3 linked regions of the Astyanax mexicanus genome follow. The protein of the gene in region 1 interacts with the protein of each later gene in a biochemical or structural test. Links are inferred from orthologs where the notes say so. Each region holds a gene or a part of one and is shown in the gene's direction. Other genes may lie near its edges. The genes, in order: histone-lysine N-methyltransferase EHMT2-like, cbx3a and lig1.

Region 1 (7,037 bases):
GTTGTTCATATGAGTGTTTACCCAGATGTGATTATCGTCGCTGCATTGCCCGAGATGACCGAGCAGTTCCAAGTGATGCTGAAGAATTCAGATCCATGCGTAACGCATATCCTCTACTACAACAGCACATTTAACCTGGAGAACTTCTACGTGACGCCTCTTCTTTTTTGCCACAATGATTTTGAGGAGAGCCCAACTTTTCCGTTAGCTTTCCACATTCACCAGTGCCAGAAAGAGAGAGCTCACACCATATTTCTAGAGGAACTTCTATGTCTTCTGCCAGATCTGAACTCCAATCGATTTGTGATTTGCACTGATTGCGAGGCTGTCGTTGAGAACTCTGTCAAAAATGTCTTACCCAACGCTTCTGCATTCAACAGCTTCCGTCAAGTTCTGTACCATCTGAGATACAAAGTGATGTTTTGTGAAGAGGATGACATTGAGGACAATGTGCAAGGGTACATGAACAATTTGAGGAGTCTTATTTGTTCGGAAACTGAAGAACAATGGAGGGTTAAACTTGGTTACTTTTCTGTTACCTGGAGCACTGCCTTCCTTGAGTACTTCCAGATGCACCTGGAGGCCCTGACAAAAAGGTCTGCCAGGTTTACCCTCAAAGCACTTGGCCTACCAGAAGATGAAAAGATCACTAGTACTTTTCAAGAACTCAGTATGATGCTGATACAGATGAGGCATAGGAAACTCAGACTGGAAACGACTGTATTCACGACATTCCAGATCTCGATGTACTTCCTAAACGAAGTCTTGAGAAGCAGTTGCAACATGGGGCCCTACAAACCCACTCCCGCAAGCTCCAGAAGTGCTACCGACATGGATGATGTTGACTTCCCAGAGTTTGTTATGACCCCGAAAGAGATTGTCCACTTCTTTAAGAACAGTTTGGCTGATGACAGTGACACCATGCCAGAGCAGGAGGCATCAGGAGGGTACGACCTGGCATCAATGCGACCAATGGCAGAACTGATCATTGAGAAGAACAAAATAAGTCTTGAGCCCAGCATAAAGTCGTTCTTTGTAACGGGGTGGAGGGGCCAGAAATACGTTGTTAAAGTCTACCCAGAAGAACGATGCTCTTGCTTCTTGGCTCACCACTGCTGCCACATACTGGCGGCACGTACGGCTATCGGATTAGAGAAGGAAAAGAAGGAAAAACCTTCCTTCAGATTATGGAAAATGTGTCGGACGGCTGAAACAACACCATCGGGGGAAAAGGGAACCAGTGTTGTACCTCTGAAGGAGGTCAAGTTCACACAGTGTTTCCCAGACGCTTGTGGTGGCGACGCTCACAATAAGGTGAGGTTAAAGATGGCACTGTACACGATGATCTACACCCATTTCCATGAACCCAGTCCTGTTCAAACTAATCTGATTATGCCTCTGAAAATTCATGCTTTCTGTTTTTCCAGAATTACCTGATCCTAGAGGACTCCAGTTCTAGCAGTGAATCTGAGGAAGCTAACGAAGACTCTGAATAAAACCTTCCCATCACAGCTGGTCTACTTTTGTTCTGAAACCAAAGTCTTATTTTGTTATTCAGCTAAAAAGCAAGCCTAAGTTGTATTTTATTCTCTAAATAATGTGGTCTAATTTTGTTAGCATGTCTAATTAATAGTTGTTAGCCCATGTTTAATTTCATTTTTCAGCCAATGAGCTAGTCTGATTTTGTTATTTAGCCAATAAGCTAGTCTTATTTTGTTAATCAGCCAATAAGCTGGTCGGATTTTGTTATTTAGCAAAAAGCTAGTCTGATTTTGTTATTCAGCCAATAGGCTGCTCTGATGTTCTTATTCAGCCAATACGATAGTCTGATTTTGTTATTCAGTCTATAAGCTCCCCAGTTTTTGTTATTTGGCCAATAAGCTATGATTTTGTTATTTAGCAAAAAACTGGTCTGATTTTGTTTTTCAGCCAATAGGCTGGTCTGATTTTGTTATTTAGCCAATAAGCTGCTTTGATTTTGTTATTCAGCCAATAAGCTGGTCTGATTTTGTTATTCAGCCAATAAGCTAGTCTGATTTTGTTAATCAGCTAATGCATTGGTCTGAATCTTGTTATGAGCCAATGAGCTTTTTTGTGTTACGCCAGTGTCTGATTTTGCTACTTAGCCAATAAGCTAGTCTAATTTTGATATTAAAGCCAATGAGCTTACTTGCTTGTTTGTTTTTTCAGCAAATAAACTAGTCTGATTATGTTATTCAATAAATAGGCAATTGGCTAGATTGATTTTGTTTTTTAGCCAATAAGATGGTCTGATTTTGTTATTTACAATGAATTAGTCTGATTTTGTTATTGAACCAAGGAGCTGGACTGAATTTTTAGATTTTTGTTACTCAGACAATGTCTGATTTCGTTAGTTAGCAAATAAACTACCCTGTTGCTTGAACGTTAGGTGAACATTGCTTAAATGTTAAGTGAGCATTAGTTAAACCGTGCTTGAATGTTAGGTGCGTGTTAGTTGAATATTTCTTGAATGTTAGGTGAGCACTATTTAAACCTGATTAAATATTAAGTAATTGTTAGTTGAACATTGTGTAAATGTTAAGTGAGCGTTAGTGTTACTTGAATGTTAAGTGAGCACTTTTTAAACCTGATTAAATATTAAGTAATTGTTAGTTAAACATTGTGTAAATGTTAAGTGAGCGTTAGTCAGACGTTGCCTAAATGTTAAGTGAGCGTTAGACGTTGCCTAAATGTTAAGTGAACGTTAGTTAGACGTTGCCTAAATGTAAAGTGAGCATTAGTTAAACCTTGCTTGAATGTTAGGTGCGTGTTAGTTGAATATTTCTTGAATGTTAGGTGAGCACTATTTAAACCTGATTAAATATTAAGTAATTGTTAGTTAAACATTGCGTAAATGTTAAGTGAGCGTTAGTTAGACGTTGCCTAAATGTTAAGCAAGCGTTAGTGTTACTTGAATGTTAAGTGAGCACTTTTTAAACCTGATTAAATATTAAGTAATTGTTAGTTAAACATTGTGTAAATGTTAAGTGAGCGTTAGTCAGACGTTGCCTAAATGTTAAGTGAGCGTTAGACGTTGCCTAAATGTTAAGTGAACGTTAGTTAGACGTTGCCTAAATGTAAAGTGAGCATTAGTTAAACCTTGCTTGAATGTTAGGTGCGTGTTAGTTGAATATTTCTTGAATGTTAGGTGAGCACTATTTAAACCTGATTAAATATTAAGTAATTGTTAGTTAAACATTGCGTAAATGTTAAGCGAGCGTTAGTTAGACGTTGCCTAAATGTTAAGCAAGCGTTAGTGTTACTTGAATGTTAAGTGAGCACTTTTTAAACCTGATTAAATATTAAGTAATTGTTAGTTAAACATTGTGTAAATGTTAAGTGAGCGTTAGTCAGACGTTGCCTAAATGTTAAGTGAGCGTTAGACGTTGCCTAAATGTTAAGTGAACGTTAGTTAGACGTTGCCTAAATGTAAAGTGAGCATTAGTTAAACCTTGCTTGAATGTTAGGTGCGTGTTAGTTGAATATTTCTTGAATGTTAGGTGAGCACTATTTAAACCTGATTAAATATTAAGTAATTGTTAGTTAAACATTGCGTAAATGTTAAGTGAGCGTTAGTTAGACGTTGCCTAAATGTTAAGCAAGCGTTAGTAAGTGTTACTTGAATTTTTTTTTTAACCTGATTAAATATTTTTTGAACCTGATAAAATATTAAGTAATTGTTAGTTGAACATTGCTTGAATGTTAGGTGAACGTTTGTTAAACGTTGATTGAATGTCAGGTGAGTGTTAGGTGAACGTTGCTTGAATGTCAGGTGAGCACTATTTAAACATGAATGAAGCGATTGCTAATTGAAGGTTAGTTAAACGTTGCTTGAATGTTAGTTAAATGTTCAGCTAATGTTCAGCTAACTGTCTCAGTCTGTGGGAGTCGCGGCGGGTAAGTAAACGGTTTGCGAAAGGGGACTTTTATTTTGAAGGCGCGTTTCTCCTGTAGCCATTTTGAACGGAGCCCCGCTCCGGTGTGTTTTTATCTCTTTACTGTTTGAGTTTTTCTGTGTTTAATAAAGAAAAGCTGCAGAGAGAGAGAGAGACATGGAGGAGGTGAGTTCAGATTAACAGCAGATTAAAGATTGATTTAACCAGTTTAACTGAGTGTGAGCGGATTAATCCCGGGTTTAGAGGATAAATAATGATCTACAGCTCTTTATCTTTATTATTAATCACACACTGATTTATACACTGATAAATACACAACATTATACTTATTAACACTGTAGCTGGGGGTAAATATGTGTTTATAGTGTTTTTATAGGTATATAAACTGTGAACACTGTGTTATTACTGCAGTCTGGTAGATAATCTAATAATACAGCAGTGAATAGAGCATTCAGTTACCTACTGTTATTATTCATTATAACATTATGACATGTATTTATGTGAAACTCATAATATTATATAGATGTATTAAACAGAGTGGTCTATTTTAAGAGTTTATTTATTTTATTGTTGATGATTATGGCTTACAGCCAATGAAAACCCAAAATAAGACCAATTGTACTTTTGGCAGTGTGGGCAGTGTGCCAAATCCTGCTGGAAAATGAAATCTGCATCTCTATAAAAGTTGTTTTCAGCAGAGGGAAGCTGTAAGATATGAAGTGCTGTAAGATTTTGTGGGAAAACAAAACTGCACTGACTTTAGACTTGATAATAAAACACAGTGGATCAACACCAGCAGATGACAGACATGCCTCTCCAAACCACCACTGATCATCAGTAAATTTTACATTTCATTTAAAGTAAATCAAGGTATCAGAGTCTGGAGGAAGAGTGGAGAGACACACAGTCCAAACTGCTCGAGGTCTAGTGTGAAGTTTCCACCAATCAGTGATGGTTTGGAGAGTCATGTCTGATATCTGCTGGTGTTGATCCACTGTGTTTTATTATCAAGTCTAAAGTCAAAATCTTACAGCACTTCATGCTGAACCTCTTCTGACAACGTTTAAAACCAGCCTAATTTAAAAAATAATGTTGGAAAGTACCTGTAAAGGTCTGTAATGTGATTTATTCTGTTGTTTTATTGTCCAGAGTCCATCTGAGAGCCGACCAGCGCACTCCAAACCCTCAGGTGATGCTCCTCTCCTTCATACACACTCTAACCTACGTGTTCCTTAGAAGTAATGAAATACACCAGTCCTGCTTAAATTTTAATAAACACTTTCTAACCTTTAAAAAAAAGCTCTTTTATTGTGGTAAACGCGTCTCACTGAGAAGTACTGCTTAGGCCAGTCAGCTCTCCACTCTGCTCCGCCCCTAAACCCATACATCACCAAGTGCTCCTCCCAAACTACTCTTCACATTATTTTTTTAACCTGTTTTCAAATTTGATCTTAGGGTGGAGTCAGCTAAAATCAGAGGGGAAGATACGATAAGAAAATTTGTTTCTCTGATTTTGCTATTTATAGGTTTATGTTTGAGTAAAATGAACATTGTTGTTTTATTCTATAAACTACAGACAACATTTCTCCCAAATTCCAAATAAAAATATTCTCATTTAGAGCATTTATTTTATAGAAAATGAGAAATGTCTGAAATAACAAAAAAAAAAAGATACAGAGCTTTCAGACCTTAAATAATGCAAAGAAAACAAGTTCATATTCATAAAGTTTTAAGAGTTCAGAAATCAATATTTGGTGGAATAACCCTGGTGGTTTTTAATCTCAGTTTTCATGCATCTTGGCATCATGTTCTCCTCCACCAGTCTTACACACTGCTTTTGGATAACTTTATGCTGCTTTACTCCTGGTGCAAAAATTCAAGCAGTTCAGTTTGGTGGTTTGATGGTTTGTGATCATCCATCTTCCTCTTGATTATATTCCAGAGGTTTTTAATTTGGTAAAATTTAAAGAAACACATGTTAAGGAGTCTGTCTCACCAAATTTGTCTCTTCTTACTTTCTACACATTAAACTAAAGTCTCTCAATAAAAGTTGGTTTCCTGACTTATCTTAATTTACCTTTATCTTTAAAGAGAGTCTAAAGGAGAAGGAGAAAGATGGGGGGAGCAGTGAGAACACAGCGACGTCCAGCTTCACCAAACCATATACAGGTAAACCTGCAGTTAACACGCAAGCTCTGCTGTGTCCAATCAAATTACACCACCATGATCATGTGACCGCTGATCTCTCTCTCTCTCTCTCTCTCTCTCTCAGGTCATGCTGCTAAGTCCGCTCCTCCCTCGTCTCCGTCTGCATCCTCCGGTCGAGCGAAGATGAGTGTATGTGGGCCGGGCAGTAAAAACCCCTCCTCCTCCTCCTCCTCTTCCTCTCTTTCTTCATCCTCCTCTTCCTCAGCCCCACCCCCTAAAGTCCACCGCGCCCGCAAGACCATGAACAGACCCCCCATCACACAGGTGACCATTAGCAATTACATATTACTGTTATAACAGTGACTGAATTATTTTTAGGTAATGTGTCATTTATAGCAGGAACTGAATTATGTCTATTAGATGCTAAATCATACGTAGCAGATACTGAATCATTTGTATTAGGTGCAGAATTATATAAGGTAGTTACTGAATCATCTTGTAGTAGATACTGAATAATTTATAGTAGATACAGAATTAAATATATATATATATATTTATATATATATATATTTATAGTAGAATTAAATATATATATCATTTAAGGTAGATACTGAATCACTTGTGTTGGGTACAAAATAATATATGGTAGTTACTGAATCATTTATACAGCTAACTGAATCATATTGTAGTAGATACCGAATCATTTATACAGCTAACTGAATCATATTGTAGTAGATACTGAATCATTTATACAGCTAACTGAATCATATTGTAGTAGATACTGAATCATTTGTGTTGGGTACATAATTATACATATGGTAGCGACTGAATCATTTGTAGGATTTACTGAGTCATTTTTGTAGTAGATACTGAATTATTTGTGTTGGGTACAGAATGATATATATGGAAATGACTGAATCAATTATAGGAGGTACTGAATCATTTTGTAGTAGATACTGAATGATTTATAGT
Region 2 (7,070 bases), on another chromosome or scaffold:
TTAAAAAAATGAATGAAATATGGTGAGAATTACCCCCAATCCCCAACAAACACACCCTTTAATCCTTAAACTGTTCCTTAAATAATTCCTCTGAAATTGCGGTGTTCTGATTTGTGCAAGGATTCCTATTTTCCGATTAATAAAGGAAGATAAATTAATAACTTTATGCTTCTTGTTGTTGTCTAAGTCTCCTCGTGTATGTGTGGGTTTCCTCTGTGGACTATGGTTTCTTCCCACAGTCCAAAAATATGGAGATCAGGTAAATTAGATACTCTATATTGTCCTGATGTGTATGTGTGGGTGTATGTATGACTTTGCCGAGATATGGGTGGTGTTTTCCGGTTGAGAGTACGCTCTGTGTGATTGGCTGATGCTTGTCACTGGTGTGTATGTGGTTGAGTGCAATACATGATTCTAAAGCATCATTGGGTGTCTAGAAAAGAGCTATATACATGTAGTTTCATTAAATTAAACACTTTTTAGGCATATGAATGACCAAAGCACAGCTTGGGTCCTCCAATAAATAATATACTTCTCATATTTCTCATTATAATAAATAGATTTTCAATAAAAAGGGTAGCTAGGCAAATGTACGTTTTAAACTGGAGATATGTGGCTAAAGTAGATAACTGTGGATTATGTAATGCTGTAACTGTAACTAAGTCACCCTGTTACTACACTTTTAAAAAATATATAGTTTTATCTAGAAGAAATCAAATTAACCAATTGGTTTTGCTTTCAAACAAAAAACAAGGCAAGAAATGTGGAGTAAGATGTCAAATCTGAATGAACTTGATATAAAACATGATTGTTCATGCTATATGGTTCATATAGTTGTGAAAAAAACAAGCAATTTTCAGGTCTAGGTAAGTTTTGGAAAAAATAAGTGCTATATAAGTGCAAGAGGGATGCTGGACGACTGAACAGGCTGGTGAGGAAAGCTGGTTCTGTGCTGGGATTAGAGCTGGAGTCCTTAACACCACTGGCAGAGAGGAGAGCCCTCAGCAAGCTGCTGAACATCATGGACAATGTTCACCACCCTCTGCACAGCACCATCACCAGGCAGAGGAGCTCATTCAGCGGCAGACTGCTGTCCCAGTCCTGCTCCACAGACAGACTCCGAAAGTCTTTTGTCCCTCAGGCCATAAGACTTTTCAACTCCTCTCAGCACAGCAAACTGAAGACTCTGTGACACCTTTTCTTTCCAGCAATTCTGGCCACACCATGGACATACCCCCATCTATGGTCACACTATCATGCTGATGCCCATAACACTATTTTTATAGTTCTACCCTATTTTGCACTAGTAGTTCATTCACTAGTTCATTCATCTACTGTTTACGTATCTTTTGCACTGCTAAATTTAAATTATTATATAACTGTGTATTTGCACTTTCTGTATGGCGGACATCAGTTATCCTTATCCTTACTTTATGCACATCAACTGGTGTTCGCTGTCTATTGTGTTCAACTGCACTACCTCCATTTTACATCACACACACTAAAGACTGTACTTTTATAATTTCATTTTATTTTTTATTTTGTTGTATTTATATGTATCATTTATATATATATATATATATATATATATATATATATATATATTTTTTTTTTTTTCTTTTTATCTTTTTGTAACTTTGTGTACTATACACACCTGCTGCTGGATGTCAAGAATTTCCCCTCGGGGATCAATAAAGTATCTATCTATCTATATATCTATATATATTAAGTACTATACTGTACTATGCTGCTAAAGTAAGTATAGTTGGTGTTCTATTTATTTTGTGCACAGGTGTCAAGTAATAAAGTACAAATACTTTGTTTTCTTTCTTCAAAAGTACAATTTTGGTTATTGGTTATCTACACTGAAAATATTTTTCAGATGACTTTTTAGTTCTACTCCTTACATTTTATAAACAGCCTCGTTACTCCTATTTCATTTCAGCTCATTTTTATTCCTTCTTCTCGTCCTTCGATAAAACCCCTATCCAGATAAATCTCTCCATCCAGATAGAGTGAATCTGATTGTGATTGGATGTAGAGAAGTATAAACATATACCATTCCGACTTGGTTTATACTGTGATCCATCACACTCCAGCAAGAACATAACAGACGTATGTAGTCTAGTATGAAGATGATCCGTGCAGAGACTCAAGAGAACTCCAGATAAACTCCAGTCCAACTAAACTTCTTTAATATATTTACATTCATTTACAATGGGAATAAATGCAGCTGAAACACTAGAGAACAGCCTAGAGCATCACAAATTATATTATCAACATTCATATTTTAATATTTTAACATTATAGTCATTAGGGGTGTGCGATATGTCTCTAAAATAAAATCACGATATTTCAGGGTATTTTTGCGATAACAATATACTTGGCGATATAGCAAAACTAAAATAATTCATTCATTTCAGGAATATAGTATAATAATATAACAGTATAATCATAATGTGGCAAAATAAATAATATAGCATAAAATAATATAATGCAGCAAAAAATATTGTAGAATACAGAACAGCCCTATTATCATGATATGGATTTTTAATATCATGATATTTCTGTCACAATATATTGTATACGATATAATATTGCCCACCCCTAATAGTTATTATGGCTTTTAGAAAAATGTGTTTTTATTATACTTTAAGTAGTTTTGAAACCAGTACTTTTACTTAAAGAGTAAAAAGCTTGAGTTGATACTTCAACTTCTACAGAAGTATTTTAAACACTAGTATATATACCTTTTACTCTACCTGAGTAATGCATGTGTATGGAAATACTTTTCACACTTTTGGTCGCAGCACTACTTACCCAGTGTTGCCAACTCCTCAGTAAGGAAAGTAGCTATTGGCTGTCCTAAAAGTCGCTAGAAGTCGCTAAATGACGTCATCGCCTAATTTGCATAATACATGTTTTTGAAGCTGTAAAGTATTAGGGTTGTGGGAGAGAAAAAAGTGAGTAAAAACACCATAAATGTGTTAGAAATGTTATAAAGGAACAACTTCTGTTGTTTTTTTAAATAGGACGTCACTTTTTTTTACATTAACTTCATTTTTACGTGAATTACATAAATTAGTTTTTTGCCATGTTCTTAAATGTTATTAAAAGAGCAACCGGAACTGTTATTCTATGTTTTTTTTACTTTTTTTTTAGTTTGTTTGTTTTATTTTTATTTTTTATTTTTTTTACATTTTCTTAAGTTTTCTTTATTTTTAAATATATCATAGACAAATTGTTCAATAGTTCAATAGATATTTAGCTTTGTTTTATTTATTATTTTTTTTTAGCTTTGTATTTAGCTTTGTTTTATTTTATTTGTATTTTTTTACGTTTTCTTAAGTTTCCTTTATTTTTAAACCTATCATAGACAAATTGTTCAATGGTTCAATAGATGTTTAGCTTTTTATAAAGAGTGTAACTGTGGAGGAGGTGAGTGACAGGCTGTGTGGTGAATGAGGTGAGTGAATGACTGAGACAGTGTGAGTTAAATTAAGGGATTTCTGTTCGTGTCACACTGAAGACACAGTTATATTTATACTTCTGCTCTGTAAATACAGAGCGGGGTCAGTCAGCGGCGGCTGTGGGCACGCGCGATTCATTTACAGTGTGTTCGTGGAGCGGTGTGTGTGTGTGGGTCTGCACTGTGAGTGGTGTGGGGCGGGGCTCCCGGCAGCGCCCGCTGCAGCGCGGAGGACAGGAACTGAAGAGCGCGTGTTCATCTCAGAGTCGCCAAAAGTCTCCAATAACACCACAAAAACTCGCTAGATTTGTCGCTAGTCGCTTTTTTTTTTTTACAAAAAAAGTCGCTAGAGGGTCTGAAAAGTCGCTAAATATAGCGACAAAGTCGCTAAGTTGGCAACACTGTACTTACCAAGAGAAAAACCCAGGGAGTTTAAATCCCACGCCACGCCTCTTTTACCCCTTCGCAGGAAGCCATTGGCTGTGTGTGAGCACGTAGGGGCGTGGCTGCGCTGAGGGGGCGTGGCTTGACGCACATGTTTCTTCTGCAGCCGCTTAGAGGAGCTGCTGGTTGGCGCGCTGCCAGGTGAAGCCCTGCTGAAGAAGTCCACCGTCCTGCAGCCTCCTGCTCGCTCTGTCTTTACCGGTTTCTGCACAAAGTCAAAGTAAGTCCGTCGGTACGCGCCGTGCACGAGCGTTAGCGCGCGGTGCGTCCGCTTTAGCGTCGATTATTGATCGGTTTGCGCTCTGGTTCGTTCGCTAGCCGGCTCGTGCGCTTTTGTTCGCTTGTTTTTTCGCGCGCGCGCACGCTGCACACGCGGCGTTTTCCCGCTGCAGGGGGGCCGCGCGCTTTCAGTGTTTTTAGCGTTAACTAACTGCGGCGTTTTAACGCGGTAATAACCAGCGTTTTAACGATATTAGCACTGTGTTACTTAGTTAGTAGGTTAACTACGTTATTTTGGTTATATCTGCGTTTAAATGCATGAACTATGAACTAGCCGGCTAGCTAAGTACTTAGCTTGGTTTGAGACTAGTAACTTTAGCTAGATTTAGCTAGATTCATTTAAGTTATAGCTAAATATTGTTTTAAAATGACGCTGTACGACTAAACTAGTGTTTGTAAAGTCAGTTAAACACTACATAACATTAGTTCATTCTTAGTAAGCTAATGTATATGTTTATATTTGGCTGACTCCGTTTTTAGTGGCTAGGTTAACTAGGTAGTAAGCATTGTTGCACATACAGGCCTGTTCTTATTTGGATGTGGTTAACCAACTAAGTTATCTAACCCAGTTCTTTAGCTAGCTGAACAGTTAAGTTAACTAAGGATACAGTTTAATGAGCCAGTTGGCTTTGTTTATACTGGCATTTAAATGTATCAGCCGCCCATAAACCAGCCGGTTAGCTTTGGTAGCCTAGCTAGCTTGCTTACCTACGTTAGAAACTTTAGTAAGACCAGTACATTTCAATAGCTTTACTATTAACACTATTATCAAGTAGTTTTAAACCCAGTTATCATCACATGACGTTAGTTAATACATAGATAGCAAAAAAAAATAGCCACATATATTTAACTTTACTCTTGTAGTACACAAACTAGCTAATAAGCATGGTTACACATACAGGCCTGCTCGTATTTGGATGGTATCTACCTAATTAGGGTTATTTAACTTGGTCTAATTCTTGTAGATAAAGCAGTAAAATATTGTCTATAGCTAGCTTTAATTATTTGGCCTTAATTTCTTAGGCATTTAAGTGGATCAGCAGCACATTAACATTTAAGAGGGCTATCTAGCCTATTAGCTGGGTAGTTTAGCATACTCTTTTAAATTAAACCCGTAACTTGTATTACCGTGCTAGCTAGTTGTTTAACTTGGCTTTTAGGATAGTAGCTAAGCATTTGTAGTGGTAAATATTTAAGTCATATTAACTGCACATAACTGTATTTTAAGTTAATTTAAGATTGGATAAGGTAGCTAGCTAATACGCTGTGTTGCACATACAGGCCTACTCGTATTTGGATGCGTTAGCATTTGCTAACTAGGCGGCTAACGTGGTCTAGTAGTCGTCTAGCTAAATTTTTCTTTTAAGTATATATTTTTAAGTATATTTATTTCTAACTAACACAATTTAATTCAGTATTAGCCTTTACAAGCTAAGTTACGTTAATAATGAAAAATCCTTTTTAAAATGAGCTTCGGCCTACTCCTAGCTAGTTAGCATTAGCCTGTTAACTCGGTTAGCAAGCTAGCGAGCACAAAGCATCGTCGTTTTGTGGTTAAAATCTCGTGTGTGACTGTTAAACTCTGTCTACTTTGTAGGTAGAACATACATTCGTGATTTTATGCGTAATTCAGATTTTGTTGCCTTAATTCTTTAATGACCATCTCTGTTTTCGCCCTCTCCGTCGTAGCCAGCTAACGCTAATTAGCTTCAGTTGTTAGCTAAGCTAACGTTAACTAGCTGCAAAGCCAGCGTTTGGAAAGCTGAGGCGCCGGGTACAGAAACCGTGCAACAAATGCACCATTAAATACAGGATATTTTTATTTATAGTTAGTTAGTTTAGGTATTAAAACACACATTTATACATTGATGGCAGATAAATAGCAAGTTAGTCTTTTACAATGGCATAACAGATCAGAAGCAGCGTTTAAAGCTCCTGTATATAACAATGAAGTTGTGATATGTTACAAGATAACAATAAAAAATAAAAAAATAACAATCGTTATATTATTAGATTAAGGTCATAATAGTACGAAAGAATAAAGTCGCAGTATTTTGAGGAAAATATACTTCTAACTGCTTGGGCTGCTAGTTAAAAACAGAGCAAGTAGGAGGGAAATTAGCATTTTCTGCTCATGATCTGTTACAAGGCTGCTGTGATTATCATCAGTTCTCTATATTTCTAAACTGCTGCTGATTAATGCTCTAGTGTTACAATTAGATAGTACATTGTCCTGTGGTGGTGTCCCGATTTCCCCACCGTGATTGTATTTATGTTCCTTGGGTCTCAAAAAAGTCGTAAATAAAGGAAAAAAAAACTTTTACTGATGAGGAATGACTGGTACTGCTGTAAGCATTTAAGGTGGAACGAAAATCTGAAATGTTTTTGGTAATTTCCCATTTTTGTTTGCTCATCAAATAAACACACGATACAAGCCGTTGTTTGTTTTAGAATGAATGAATTAAATATATATTTTTTTAATTGTCCGACTTTAGATTCTCAGTTGAAAATCAAAGGAACAAATAGGTTTTAACAAAAGCAGGATAAATGGTAGAGATGCTAGAGTGGTGTAAAAAAAAACACAACAACCCAGTATTGGAGCAGCTCTGGAGCAGTGAAATTTTTCTTTTCTGGCATAATGAAGCTCTGTCCAAGCGAGCTGTCTGCAATATCTTATCGTATACAATGATCTTGAAAGCAGTTTTGTGGTATTTTGTTCTCATTTTGTTGCTTACTGTGTTTACTTTAAATTGTTTTGCAATTTACATGCACTAAATGTTACACTTGAGGTTTTTATCACTTTATTTTTGATGTATACTCTAATGAATGTATGAAACATTATTTAAATACAACAAATGGCAGCAAACGTTTCCAGGTT
Region 3 (7,155 bases), on another chromosome or scaffold:
AAATAGTGCAACAGACGGCAGGGGCTGCATCATTTAAGGCGGAATGTAGAAATAAAAAAAAGAAAACGTAAAATAAAAGCTAATCAAAGCTAATTTCAGCTCACCATCACAATCCCCCCCTTCTGAAAACATATGATAAAGCCCTAAAGTTAACTAGTTAACCAGCAGCAGCAGCTAGGTTGCTGAACTTTAGCGCTCCACTGCTATAGTTAGCTATATCTGTATCGGGTGCTTGAAGTGTTGTCTCAAATCTTAGGGGGAGGATTTAATCTGACACTGGGAGCCTGAAAGGGTTAAATAATGAATCAGTACAGAAGGCAGCTTGGTGTGGCACATCATGTGATTGGTCATTAGAACGCTGTTCCCGTCAAAGATGAAATGAAAGCACTTTTTACGGTGCTGCCATTGGCATTTCTCACTGCCACAAACAATAATATACTGTAGCTACAAAACAAATACAGTTCATTTACATCATTTCCAAACCAGTTCTAATAGAAACAGAGACAGGAAGTAATCAGATTACAGTTACAGTAATGTTTTCATTCCTTTTATTCGTTCTTTAATTGACTTTAATTGATTAAAACAATTCTGTAACATGAGACAACACGCCAAAACAAAAGTGAAAGTATGATTAGAGAAGTGATATGCTGCTGGTGTTACATCAACTGACAGCAATGCAGGTAAGAATGCCTTCGTGGAAATTTGTGAACTTTCCTGGAATTGAAAATCTGCACGTAGTGAGATTATGCAATACTTATATACATGTAAACAGAATGTGAAAATTATTAGTGTCAATTATTATTCATGGATAATATGAACCAGATCCTTCCATCGGATTGCCAAATGCATGATTTCAGAGAAATTCAAATAACACTATATATTTGTTATGCTTTTAAATGTGCGAAATTGTAGAAACTGTATAATGCTCAAGTTAGACCTGAATAAAACTTGTGTTGTTGTTTCTTATTTTAACAGCAGTTAAAATGCTTATACGATTAAAAGACATTGAAGCATTTTTTTTGTTAAGGAAACCCATTAAACACACCAAACAAACACAGGCTTCGCAAATATAGAGCATAGTACTCAACAGGGACTCTGTTTTACTAGGTTTAGTTTATTAATTCATTAATTATTATGTCTCCTTTATATTGTTCACTCAGTAAAAAAAATCACTAAAATCACTGAAAGGATTTTGTTTTATATTAGCTGATGTTAGTTATTCTGTGATTCTGTGTCTCTTAGCATAATTTTGTTTTATTTTCTGTTTTGAATGTAGAGTGAGGCTATCTGTTCTCATCCGCTTCCAAAAATGTGAAGTCAAAGAAGAAGTTGAAGGTTTTACCGAGGAGGAGGAGAAGGAGGAGGCCACTGAATATTGAGTAGCAGTTTCTCAGGACTGACTGTTTTCTCTTGAACTGAGGACTTTTATTGTAGTACAAAATAATGTTGTATTTAAAAAAAAAGGTTTTGCATACTACATTCTCCAAATAAGGATGCAACATTTCCAACCCACTGTACTTTTACTTTTATACTTGAAGTAGTTTTGAAACCAGTACTTTTACACTTTATTTTTGAGTAAAAAGCTGTTGATACCCCAGATACTTAAGTATTTCTAACCCCTAGTATCTACACTTTTACCTCAGTCATGAATGTGAATACTTTCTACACTTCTGTTAAACTCTGACAGAGATGTACATGCGCAGTTTCACTTTGGGCCAAAGGTTTGGAACCTATGCCTCCTAGTGGAACAAGAGGCAAAAAAAGATGTGAGTCAATAATTAAGGACTAAATACATACAGTATGTGAATTAGATTAAGAGCCATTCCACTGAATCTGTGTTTTTTCTGTTCCCATGCAATTACATATATAAATGTGCACACAAAATAACTTTAATAAAAACTATTTAGAACACTGAAAAAATAGCATTTGTTACCTGTCCCCACTCTCTAACTATAAATTTTACCATGAAATATAATTATTAAAATCCTTCAGAGATATGATTATTTTGCATTTTAAAATAATCATCTTTTTAAAATGTGTTTTTTTTCATAATAAATCCATAATATTTAAGTTAAACATTTTGTTGTGTCCCTGGGTTTCACTCAGTCCTGTTACCGTAACACATTACCCCTTATCATTTACAACAGGAAGTGACATCAGCTGGTTATTCTGAAGATCCCTCATTTGTTTTTTCTATATATATATATATATATATATATATATATATATATATATATATGGAGAAGTTCTAGTAACAGGAGTGAGTGACAGTAACAGGACTGTTTTTTCGTCTTAAATATCAATTTTTGAACATGCTGTCAACTATTTCTTTAAAATAAAGACTTTCTTCAAATAAACTCAATGGAATTGAGTGGACTTGCTTTTACATATGCTTTTTAAATGTCACATTAGTTTTATGACCATCTTCGGATTAGAAACCTTGTAAAAAAAAAACAAGTAAAGCTGCCTGAGTTTGACAAGTACATGTTTTGAATAGTTAAATATATGTTATTAGATTCATAGTTTCAAAAAAAAAAAAAAAATTGGAAGAGTTACAACAAGGAAATGGCACTTATTCGGTGGAATGGCACGTAAATAAATAAATAAATAAATGTGTGTTTAAGTACTGTTTTACTTAAAACACACACAATCGTATGTTGATATTTTTAAGGAAATTAAAAATATATATATATTTTGAATATTTTTTTGCATTTGTCATTATTACAGTGAATCAGTTCATTATTACACATGAATCATAAGAAATAAATCCCAATGCTTTATTTATGATTATTCTCCTCCAGTCCAGCACGCGGCGCACTCTGCAGCTCGCGCGCCCTCCCAGGCCGTGGGGCGCGCGTTTATTATAGAAAGTTCGATTCTGATTCCGAATCGACTCCTTTGACTCTTTTTAGTGAATCAGTGACTCAAAGACTCATTGAACGTCTAGCCATCTTTCTACACGTTTTTATAAACATTACAAGCTTTTTACTACAAGAGTGAAAATAAAATAATAAAGATAGAGTATAAAGGAGTGAATAAACAGCTGGAGTTTGTGTCGATCACTACAGTATAAAGTGCTGTAGACTCAGAACAGCGAACATGATTGCATGTTTTATTTATATTTGCTCATTAATGTTTTAAATTTTAGACTTTTATGTTTCACAGATGTTTTTAAAATAATTTAGACATTTCATCAATTTATTTAGTTAGTTTCCTAAAACCCTTTTTTTGCAGAAGCACCCCACAGTTCTGACTTTTTAAAGTCAAATGAAAATAAGCATAAACTTGGACCTGTGTAACACTGAAATCGCACTAAATGACATTTCAGCACAATTTTACCCCCTGATTTTGAATTGTGATGATCGAGTCTGTACTAGTTGGCTCTAGTTTGCAGTCAGAGTGAACGTCTTGTACTGTTTAATGGCCTGAGACTCGATTTTTAGCTTCAAAAACCGACTTCAGTCACATAAAATCAAATGTTTGATGTTTTCAAGTCAATTTTTGGGGTAATCTGGTAGTGTAAACTCTTCACCAACTCAAGTCTGAACCGACTCCATTGGCCGCCAATGAAAACAGACTGATTCCGAGCATCAAGGAGCCGTAAATGATATGCGGTAGACTCCCGCAATTTCCGGGAGACTTGGGAGGGCTGTGTACTGTAGCCAAGGCTTTTAAGTGAAGTGGATAACCTGAGAGCTTACGCACTTCCAATTTTTTTTTGTAATATCAAATTATCAAAATTTGCCATTTTTGGTTAAACAACATAAATCACATAAAATAAAAGAATAATACATTAAACTGAATGTATGGTACATAAATCATAAAAAAAATACTTTGTCAATATTCTTTAAAATTTCACCCTTGAAAGAAGAATGTTTGAGAAGAAATACTAGCTACCAAAAGAAATATCCTCCATCATTTTAATATCAGAATCACAGAACTTTTTCAATTATTTTAATCAATATACATTGTACATTTCATTAATAACGGGAAGGACAGTAAAGTACCAAGCACTGGTACTGAAAGCTTCTGCCAGTGTTTACTGAATCACTGAATCGCTGATTCCCTCGGCTCACGAAAAAGAACCGGTTCAAAGAGTGATTCAGTTGACGTCAGTTTGGCGCCGAATGGTCGGGGTTTGAGCGCGCGGGAGATTGTGCGGATGGAAACAGTGGAGCTGCTGTAGAAACGGATTATCTGAATTCTGATCTTAAATCGAATTTAATTCAGGAGTCACCATGCAGCGTAGCATCGCGTGAGTGTCCTCGTCTAATATAACTCTAATATAACTCCAATATAACTCTAATATAACTCAGTGTCCGGAGATAAACTCTGTAGTTAGCTTAGCTGAACTTTTCACTGATAGAGTAGCTGAGTTAGCCCTGCTGTGAATATTAAACTCCAGCTAGGCTAGTCTAATAGTTAAGTTAGCTTAGCTATACAAATATCTGGCTATGTTAATTTACCTAAATAACTGTACTGTAGGTAGAAAAGTTGAGATAATGCTAGCTGGGTTTAGCCGTGGCTAACTGAACCTCCTGATAATGGAGAATTGAAGCAGCATTTTCCGTTGGGGAACAAAGATAACTAACGTTGGTTAGCTAAGTTATTTAACTATCTACGCTAAGCTAAGCTAAGCTAAGCTATGCTATCCTAGCTAACTAGTGTCAGTTTACCCTCACAGAGTATTTTACCTGGTTAAAGCCTGAGTTTAATCTCGCTGAAACCGAGGAACAGACTCTCTCACAGATCCTCAGAGCTGTGCTGTTAGTGAACTGCAGGCTGATTTAGCCTGAAACGAGTTTTAGCCACATAAATTACACTCTGTAATTGCGTTTTACTAGTGAACACTTTCTGGCTTTCCGTAATGCAGTTTTTACTCCAATTTCAGATGTAATTTGTATTCTTGTGCCCGAAAACGGCACGTGTGAAATTCTCATTAATTTACAACAAACTTGTCAGAACTGAATTAGAAAGATTTTATTCGCATTTGTACTGGTCAGAATTAATTTCTGCTACTCAAACAACTCAAAATCAGAACATCTGCAACATGACCTGATGCTTTAGCCTAAAATAGCACCATCGGTACAAACCCTGAATCCTGTTTTTACTGCTAAAAGCTCACAGATTTCTGTAATGCAGTTTCTACTCATTTCAGATCAGTCATTGTATTAGTCACCCAAAACTGCTCATGTGTTGAATACTTATTATTCTAAGCTGGTTAAAAGTACATTAGAAAGGTCCTGAATTAATGTAATACATTTATTATTAATACCTTCTTGTAAAAAAGAAAAAACTATAATGAACTTTCGTGAACTATCATTTAAGATTAGGATTGGGTATACTTTTTATGTTCACAATTGAAGTGAAAAATTATATTGGCCATCATTTTCCTTTGGTAGATATGCCATTAATTATGAGAACATTGCAAATTTTCCTTTTAAATCAGGCACCAATTTATTTTTTTTACACATTAATTAAAGATATTGCATGATCTGTGATTTGACTGGCTTTTTTTTATATATAACTAAAACTACATTAAGGGCTTGTCCTCCTATATAGATCTGTAGGTTTCAGATTACTAGTAAATGTACATAGCTTTCAGAACACTTTGGGTCGGTTTCCAGGACATCGATTAAGACTATGTTTTGCTTTCTGTTGAAAATGCAGACTAGACTTAATGCCCTTTCTGGAAATCTTCCCCTTGTATCTTAAATTATTGTTATGCTACTATGTCGCTTCATTTAATTCGTGCATCTGCTTCCTCAGGTCTTTTTTCCAGCCGATGAAATGTAAGGAGAAGAAAGACGAACCAGCTAAAGTGAAGTCTGAGTAAGTAAAGTTGCCCAGCCTTTTTTTTTTTTAAATATCTCTATACTAATATAGGCTTTGCGTAAATATTCGCCATCTGCTGTTTTTTATACTCTTTCTTGCCACCCAGACCAATCAAAAGCCCACTGAAAACTCAGAATGGTGAGAGAGACTGTGATTCTCCTGTAAAGAAGACAAGCAAACGAGCTCGAGCGATCATCGACAGTGATGATGAAGAACAGCCGACAGTAAAGAACGAGGTCTCCAAGCAGGAGGAAGAACAAGCTACCAAGCCGGACAAGGAGAAGGTACAGCGCGTTTTACTCGCCTGATTACAGTGTGTTTAATGGGACTGCAGAAAAACCCTTAGGGTTTTTATAACATTGAGCAATGAACTTTTAATTGTTAAGGTCTCAATGCTGAGTGTCTCAAAATAGGTAATATTGAGGTAAAAATGGTTGAGCTCATGTTTGTCTTGCATGGTGAGTTGGTAACCTAAATAGGTCTAAATATAGTTCTTTGGTTTCAAGAGTGAGTAACTGAATTGTGTTGTCTTGCATGCAAAGTTATGTTAAGTTGTAATTGGGATAAGTACTAAACAAAGGTAGTTAATGTTATTAAATTACATTTCTTTTTGTTTATTCACTGCTTTAGTGCTTTGTTATTAATAACAAACTTCCATTCTTTTTTGTTTTCTTTCACTGATAGGCCGATGTTAAAGTCAGTGCCAGTCCACTTTCACCAAAGCCCCTCGCTACCCCAACAACCCCCGCCACGCCGGCAACTCCAGCATTATCTGCAGCTTCAGGCACACCTGGAACTCCTGCTACTCCAAATTCCACCTCACCCTCTGGAATTCCAAAACGCAGGACTGGTGAGTGTCTGTCTGCACGTTGGATTGGATTTCTTTTTCATAGTTACTGCAGTGTTTCTGCTACATAGGTTCTGCAGCTGTGGTACTGGTACTGGAGAAAAGTGTATTACACTAGCTAATATCAAGTTAAATATTTGGTTTTACATTTTAGAACAACATTCACAATATAGGGCAAAGCTCATCACAAACTGCTAGCATGCTTCAATGGACAGACGCCATACAGTGTTTGCTATAATGTGCCCTGCAGCATTTTAACAGTACTACTTTGAATTTTAAACCATATTGAGACAACATAAATCCAGAATTGTGAGTTTGCTAAGCTAATATTACTATCCTAGCCCTGTACAGCTCCTTATCTTTCAGTTGGAAAACAGTTTGTGAGGAGTTTGTAAACTGATAGCAAGCATAAGTAATACATTAAGTATAAATAAAAAGTATATTGGCATTACATTTTTGCCTCACTGCCAGCA

What was found.
Region 2: the proteins of histone-lysine N-methyltransferase EHMT2-like (region 1) and cbx3a are reported together in a solved structure, tested with the Homo sapiens proteins (2 studies listed by BioGRID, with this or other methods). The link is inferred for Astyanax mexicanus from reciprocal best matches to the Homo sapiens genes EHMT2 and CBX3.
Region 3: of the proteins of histone-lysine N-methyltransferase EHMT2-like (region 1) and lig1, one has a biochemical effect on the other in vitro, tested with the Homo sapiens proteins (3 studies listed by BioGRID). The link is inferred for Astyanax mexicanus from reciprocal best matches to the Homo sapiens genes EHMT2 and LIG1.

The regions. Positions count from the first base shown.
Region 1 is NW_026040041.1:5,516,337-5,523,373, reverse strand, and holds the start of histone-lysine N-methyltransferase EHMT2-like, read left to right. Parts: upstream 1-3,977; 5' UTR 3,978-4,073; coding exon 4,074-4,082; intron 4,083-5,066; coding exon 5,067-5,106; intron 5,107-6,008; coding exon 6,009-6,086; intron 6,087-6,189; coding exon 6,190-6,389; intron 6,390-7,037. Other genes in the region: uncharacterized protein LOC111190472, read left to right, coding at 1-1,314, 1,428-1,496. UniProt on the Homo sapiens protein: Histone methyltransferase that specifically mono- and dimethylates 'Lys-9' of histone H3 (H3K9me1 and H3K9me2, respectively) in euchromatin.
Region 2 is NC_064410.1:62,356,882-62,363,951, forward strand, and holds the start of cbx3a (chromobox protein homolog 3a), read left to right. Parts: upstream 1-3,985; 5' UTR 3,986-4,133; intron 4,134-7,070.
Region 3 is NC_064411.1:574,259-581,413, reverse strand, and holds the start of lig1 (DNA ligase 1), read left to right. Parts: upstream 1-4,104; 5' UTR 4,105-4,238; coding exon 4,239-4,255; intron 4,256-5,769; coding exon 5,770-5,832; intron 5,833-5,941; coding exon 5,942-6,119; intron 6,120-6,519; coding exon 6,520-6,685; intron 6,686-7,155.